Rattus norvegicus: one gene and its partner. The protein of the gene in region 1 interacts with the protein of each later gene in a biochemical or structural test. Links are inferred from orthologs where the notes say so. Each region holds a gene or a part of one and is shown on either strand. Other genes may lie near its edges.

Evidence for each region.
Region 2: the proteins of Slx4 (region 1) and Eme1 form a complex in vitro, tested with the Homo sapiens proteins (3 studies listed by BioGRID, with this or other methods). The link is inferred for Rattus norvegicus from reciprocal best matches to the Homo sapiens genes SLX4 and EME1.

What each region holds. Positions count from the first base shown.
Region 1 is NC_086028.1:12,042,872-12,046,685, forward strand, and holds part of Slx4 (structure-specific endonuclease subunit SLX4), read left to right. Parts: intron 1-153; coding exon 154-362; intron 363-489; coding exon 490-806; intron 807-1,416; coding exon 1,417-1,630; intron 1,631-2,011; coding exon 2,012-2,097; intron 2,098-2,819; coding exon 2,820-2,966; intron 2,967-3,814. UniProt on the Homo sapiens protein: Regulatory subunit that interacts with and increases the activity of different structure-specific endonucleases.
Region 2 is NC_086028.1:80,083,079-80,086,501, forward strand, and holds the end of Eme1 (crossover junction endonuclease EME1), read right to left. Parts: coding exon 3,316-3,423; intron 3,095-3,315; coding exon 2,979-3,094; intron 1,580-2,978; coding exon 1,390-1,579; intron 1,155-1,389; coding exon 978-1,154; 3' UTR 507-977; downstream 1-506. UniProt on the Homo sapiens protein: Non-catalytic subunit of the structure-specific, heterodimeric DNA endonuclease MUS81-EME1 which is involved in the maintenance of genome stability. In the complex, EME1 is required for DNA cleavage, participating in DNA recognition and bending.

The DNA of each region.
Region 1 (3,814 bases):
ACTTTCTAGGTTTGGATGGACTCAGATCAGTGCATGGAAAGCCCGGGAAGTTGTTGGCTCATTGCTGTGGTTCTGTCCCTATTGTTCCCTGTAACATAGAAGAGGCCCCAAAAAAGAGGTGCTCACTGACCTCTCTCTGTGGCTGCCCTTTAGTTTCAGCAACCATGTTGGAGATTTGAAACGGAAAGGAACCACCAATAAGAGGGAGCCACAGAGGAGATGGAAAGTCAGTAAACCTGAGGCTCCGTCCGAAGACCTGCTGGTGGCCATGGCTCTGTCTCGTTCTGAGATGGAGCACTGTCCAGTTGTGCCCCCACTCAGACTGGAAAATGCTTATTCTGAGAAGAAGGGGCCAGGAGCAGGTACATGTGGCCGAGGCAGGGCCGGGGGAGGGCTTGGCGACCAGTGGCTGGCTGAGAGTGACCATGGCCACCCCTGGGATAAGCAGTCAGAGCTACTTCTGACTGAGTCACTTCTGTTTATCTGTAGAGAAGAAAAGTCGCAGGAAGAGACCCCCGGTGTGTCCCCCACAGTTGGTAACCCAAGACTCTGAGACCACAAGTAGACAGATCGAGGATCGTGTCGCCCAGCTCCTGTCAGAGGAAACAGAACTGGCTTGTACCCCACCACTTCCTGCCAGCAAGATTTCTAAGGAAGAACGGGAACACGCAAGCTGGCGAGTGCGGCAGCCTGAAGGGAGGCGGGGCTTTCTGTGGGAACTCAGTGCCCTTACAGGAGCCTGGGTTAAGGAGTCCTTCTACACAGTGGGCCTGCTTCCTCCACTTGTGTCCCAGTGCCCTCCCAAGGTGAGCAGTGTCCTCCAAGCACATAAGCGGACAGGCTTGGGTAGTCTAGAAATGCACCAGACAGCAGGGCTGATGGGGAAGGCGTCCAGTAAGCAGGTTATGGAGGAAGAGACAGGCTCTTGGTGTACCTCATTCTCTCTGTGGCAACTCATTAGCACTTCTAAGAAAATGACTTTGGTCCCCAAATTCAGCACAGTCCTTAATTAAAATGCAAAGTCCAGGCCCAGCCAACCTGGCACAAGTCTTAAAGTCTGTCTGAGATAGAGCCTTGGAACCCTTGTCCTGCATACGCACTTCACACAGCTCTGGTAGGTGTGATCCTAAGTTGATATTCACCAGCCTTGGCCATTTAAATGACATTAAGTGGGCAACTAGTTCCTGGGGACCCTTCTGTTAAGTGGCCCTTCCGTACACTTGGAGGCATCATGTGGACCTGAGCTATTACAGAACCTGCCAACACAGTTGAGTTTTCCTAGGCTGCTCCTGGTTGTGACTGGCCTCCCTTGGGGGTAGGCCTGTCCTAGCCGTGCATGTGTAGGGTGGCTATTGCAGAGTATAGTAGTGTCGGTGACAGTAACCATATAGTCACTAGCTTTTCAACTTCTTTCAGGAGCCCGAGCTACCCCTGGAGCTGCCCAAACAACAAGAGCCAAGCACACAGAGGCCACCTGCTTCCCAGAGCAGCCTCCCCGTGAGCCACAGCCCCAAGAGCCAGCTGCTGTCCTCTAGCCAGAGGGAAGGCCAAGCTCTTCAGGACCTTGTGGACTTGGCAGTCGAGGGGCTGAGCTCTAGTCCATGCTCCAGGAGTGCGGGCATGCCCACAGGTGGGACACTGGGCAGGTTGTTGGGCCTGCCCTGTGCAATGTGAGGTCAGGAGGAACTCCAGTGTGGGCAGCTGGGAGGCTCTGCACCTCTCAGTGGAGAGCATGGATGAAGGTGCTCTCGTACCTTCCTCAGAGGAGAGGATGATGCAGAACATTCCGGTCTTTTCACAATCATCCCTAAACTTTAGCCCAAGACAGACTTCCTAGGCTAGTTTGTCTGTCCTACAGTCTTCCTACTTCCCTGTAAGGAGATGGGTAAAAGCAATTAAAGGGTTGCCTTAAGTAAAGGTGTCCTTAAATAGCATGTGTCCAGCCAAACCCAGGGTTGATACTGCCAGCTTGAGAGATGGCATCCTTCTGATCTACGAGTCCTTCTCTTAGGGTTGGACTTGGTACCTAGCAGCCTTCCACTGACGGGATTTGTTCTACCATGTCAGAAGACCCTTAGGAAGGATGACAGTGTCGCAGTAAGTACAAAGGCATCTGCCACAGCTGATCTGTGGGCTCTGCTCAGGCTCTGGTGTTTGCCAAATGTATGCCTTGACACCCGTGGTGGAGCGTAGAGTCCCAGGCCTCCTGTCTCATTTCTTGGGTCACTGTCACAACGTCTTTGCCACTGCTGTGCTTGGGCACTTCAGGTGTCCTCAGCAGCCAGTCTGCAGAGCCTTTCCAAGAGACTGCCTCCCTCTGTGTGCTCGTTTCTTAGTGATTTCCTTCATCGCTAAGGACTCGCTGTGCCCCTTCTGTGCATGGATTATGGGGTGAGCTCTAGCTCCCAATCCAGTGTACTGTGTTGGTAATGAATGACACTGGAAGATGGGTATCCGTGAGGACCCTGCTGTGCAGGGGCCATCTTGGTGATGTTCTTGCATGGAGGTTGGAAGTATTGGGTTCCTGCATAGCTCAGGCCCTGAGTCCTGTGCATGCAACGCTTAGGAGCTGTGAGGGCATCTTTATCCTCCACTGTCCCTCACACAGGCCAGGGAACACTGCAATAGAGAGCCTGGGAAGGAAAGAGCATTTGCCATGCTGGGTCCTTGTCTTCGGTATAACCCAGAGGCATAACCTCATGCCTCATCTGGGGATGTCCCGAGAGGAAAGCTGAGTCCTGGCTCATGGTCTCCCCTGCATGGGAAGTCAGCACAGCAATGGAGGAGCTCACACATCTCTCTTCCTCCTCCTCTTACAGCTCTCTCTTGGGTTATTGGCAACAGACTTTGGGGCCATGGTCAATAATCCGCACCTGAGTGATGTCCAGTTTCAGCTTGACAGCGGAGAGGTGCTGTATGCCCACAAGTTTGTTCTGTATGCTCGGTGCCCACTTCTTATTCAGTGTGTAAGTACGCAGGGGGCTGGACGCCTACCACCCCCCTTCTCTTTTCTCCTTTCCATTTGTATTTGCATCGTTTTGAGTCTCCTGATCCCCCTCCCTCCCTCCCTCCCTCCCTCCCTCCCTCCCTCCCTCCCTCCCTCCCTCCCTTCTTCTGTTGGGATGGCATGCTCTTGCTTCAGTCTCATGTTACAGGCTCCAGCCACCGTGGGGGAGTGCAGTGAGCGCTCAGTCACAGGAGCGTCCTATCTTCAGTCCTGCAGTAGGATGTCATCTGCAATCGTACTGGGCCGTAGTCATCTCTCCTAGTACCCTGTGGGGCTGGGCTTTTATTTGCTTTGTGGGTTCTTCTTTCTTTCACCCTCACTTCTACCTTGCAACACCCTGAACACTAGGTAGGAGAGGAAAAAGGGTAGAGGGGAAGGGGGTGACTATTAGATTACTTCCTGCTGATTGGGGCACCGCAGTTCCTTGGGGCAGGTTTGATCTTCACTGTCAGCCTCTCATTTCTTCTTTCCATCTCTTCACACACGACAAACCACAGCCCCTTCGGTCATGGCTCTAGCATTTATATATCCTCTAAGAAGTCCTCGGAAGTCCAAACGCCACAAAAACCACGCCCTTGCCAGAGCAGTAGGCAAATCATAGTCACCTACTGTGGACAGTCTAAAGCAGCCCCATATCCCACACCTGGGATTAAAACAAAAGCATCTTATATTTCTGTGTTTTTAAAGAAACCAAAATTCTCACTATACTCATGCAACCCACAGACCCACGTCGGATATGCTTAGAGTCAAGTGGAAACTGACCTTAAACATGCAGCCCAGTATGATTTTGTAAACAAAGGTTCAGAC
Region 2 (3,423 bases), about 68 Mb from region 1:
GGCACTGTGACTGCCCTACTAGCACTTGGTATGATGAAATACCTCAAAGGCAACCTAGAAACTTGATCTCACAGAAGCAGGTGCAGAGTTGCTTCTGGACCTGTAACAGAAGGGAAGGAATAGAACAGTGGGAGCCAAAGGGAAACAAAGTCACACGGTGGCGCTGCAAGTGATACATAAGTAAACATTAGCACAAACCAGGGCAGCAGCACCCACCTCCCTGCTGCTACCAGAAAGCATTCTCCCCGCTTCCCTGTCTCTTCACAACAGCTGCAGGAAGGGATCGGAAACCTGTCTCGGTGCTTATTTGCTAAAACTCCCAACTGCAAGCTCTCCCTAGAGGAGCAGGACCTGTCGGAGTTCAGACAGTGTAGCCCCAGTGGCCCATGTGCTTAGGTCAGCCACTCAAGACTGTCCTGACACGGGAAGAAAGGCCTTTGTTTTTCCCTCCCCCAGATAGTTCTGCCGTGTAGGTCCACACCTTACTCAGAATCACTACACATTCCTTTAGTCTTCCTCCAAGCTCCAGAGCCATCGGTACAAATGCTTTATTGAGACAAAATACATACTACATATGGTGACATCATGAAAACAGAAGTCAGCCTCATAGATCCCTGGCTGGTTGAGGCAGCTCAGTGGCTGGGCGTAGTCAAGCCAACCCGCAGGCAAGAGTTCACTCTGACTTCGAGATTTGATGCTTATTCTTTGGATTTCTACAATTATTAAATCCGTGTCTGAGTGGTCTGCCTTTCTCTTTTGTGCTGTGAAGGTCACTGGGACGGGGTAGGATGGCTGTCCATGGCATCTTGCTTGCTGGGAGAGAAGCGGTAATTGCTGGTGGAGGTAGATTAGAGTGTCTCAGCCTTCTGTTCCCAGAGATGGGAGACTTGCTCCCTAATTGCACTAGGAGGTACTTCTGACCCCTCTGCTGTCAGGTGCCACGGTTGGGGAAGCTTCCATCCTGTTGCTATGGGATATCAGTCAACACTGTCTAAGATGAGATCTGGTTGCACTGTGGTCATTTGAAGGTAGATCCGCCTGGATAATTCTGGCCCAACACGGCGGGAGGTGGCTGTCACACCTTCCCCACGTCGCACCTGTATGTTAGCCAGCAAATTCTGGCGTTCTTGTTCAGAAAAACACTGCTGATAAGCCTGGAAGTGATAAATGACCTCTTAATATCATCCCACCCATCCATGGCCATCCCTTGGTTAGGATGGGAGATGAAGGACAGAAAAAAGATACAGGATAGGAGGGTAGAAAGGTTAAGTTGAGGCAGGAGAACCTTTCTCAGGCCAGCCAACCCACACTGTTGACCTATGTTCTTGGCCCCTCAATAAAACTTCCCCCAAGGGTGCTTGGAGAGCTGGGTCACCGAGAGCAGCATACCTGCACCAGGAGCTGTGGAGAAGGATAGGCATCCACAATAGCGCCGGCCATTTCTGAGCTGACTCGGTTCAGCTGCTGAATCTGCCGCCTCCAGATCAGTGCAAGTCCTCTACCAGCATGGTCCGCTTTCACCCCTCCAGCCCAGTCTTTCTCCAGGAAGAAGGAGAAGCTGCCTTGATCCCGGAGTTTCCTGCAAGGGCACCACGGGGGACCTGAGTTTCTCTCTCCTACTTACTTGTCCCTTTAACTGGGAACTAAAATGTTCTGCAGTAACCTGGAGATCGACTTAGTGTTACATTGGGCCAGTTTGAGTCTCTGTTCTCAAGCACAGTTTTAGTTTCAGGTTCCATTTAAAATTGCATTTAGTGGAGCTGGGGAGATGATGGCTCAGCAGTTAAGGGCCCTGTCTGCTCTTCTAGAGTACCAGATTCGATTCCAGCACTCACTACCGCCTGACTCCATTTCCAGAGGATCCAATGCCCTTTTCTGCCCTCAGGCACTGCACACACATTGTGCACAGACACACACAGGCAAAACACCTAAACACATGAAAAGAAGAAAATAAAGTTGCATCTGGGGCCTGAGGGCAGAAGTGAGTGGGTAAGGTGCTTGCTACACCTCTAACACCAGCCCTACTGTGAGATGGGTGTGGAGACAGAACCCCTGGAAGCTCAGGCAAATCATTCCTACCTGTGCAGTGGCAAAGGAGTCCCTGCGTCCTTCGCTAAGGACCTGCACTCAGGGTTACTGTCTGACTCACAGATACACGTACACATGCAAAAAAGTTAAATCAGTCCCTTCATCTAGTCCTTTTTATTAGAGAAGGTATCAATGTCATTGTGTGTGTGTGTGTGTGTGTGTGTGTGTCTGTCTGTCTGTCTGTCTGTCTGTCTGTCTGTCCCTGATAAGATGGTGTTGTACTGCCTAGGAGTAGGCATGGGAGACTGGGTATTAGACAATTTGGAATCTATTTCAGATTCTTGCTTGCTGGGAGCTTAAAACAACTCAATCTCAGGTCTTAGTTCCCTTGATATAAAATAAAGCACTTGGACAGGTTTCCTCTGAGGTCCCTTAGTTTTCAGTTCTGATTAGGTTCACTCGAGATTTAGTTCTGACTAGGTTCACTTGAGATTTGACCTGGTAACAGCATCAACTTATAGAATATACTTGCATCTGAGTTAAAGAGAATATTTTTATAAAGGGCTGGAATTGAGGCCTTTTTAAAACTTTCATTTTAATGTTACGTATATGAATGTTTGCCTCCATATATGTGTGTGTATCACTTCTGACCTCACAGGCCAGCAGAGGGTGTTAAATCCCTTAAAAATGGCGTCACAGACAGTTGTGAACCACCACGTGGGTGCTGGGAACTGTGAGTCCTACGCAAGAGCAGCAAGCGTTCTTAGCCACTGAGCCATTTCTCCAGCCCCCTACATTTGAGGCTCTGAATCTCCAGCATAAGATTGGCTTCTGCCTCAAAAGACACTGGGCTGGTGGCAGAGTTTTGGAGAAAGGCAATTTTCTGTGGCAGCAAGAACCAAGGGAAAAGCAAGACTTGGTGTGGAGGGGGGACTTGGCAGGTCACTCACTTGAAGGGCGCTTCAGCCACAGCCTTTGTAAATGCACAGGCGAAGTCGGCCAGCTCTCTCCAGCTCTGCACGATCCGAGCCTGGGCTTCTGTATATAGCTGCAGATCCACCAATGCCTAGAAACCCAAAGGCAACAGTGGACTGGAAGAGTGGAGGGACTGTTGGAAGTTGTCTTGATGTTCACTGAAGCTACACTCAACCTCTTGGCTCCAATGATCCCGCTTCTTACTCAGTCCGAGACAGACAGTGCTAGTGAACCTTCTATCCAGTCTGGGTTGGAGACCTACCTAGATACCCAGTGAGCACTCACCTGAGCAGGGCCACAGGAAGTTCTTACCTCTTCCATGTCTACCCTGGACACCATGAGCCTTGTGCTGGACTCTCGTCTCTGCTGATGCTTCTCTTTGGCCTTTTTATTTGCCATTCCTGATTTCCTTCTTTTCGG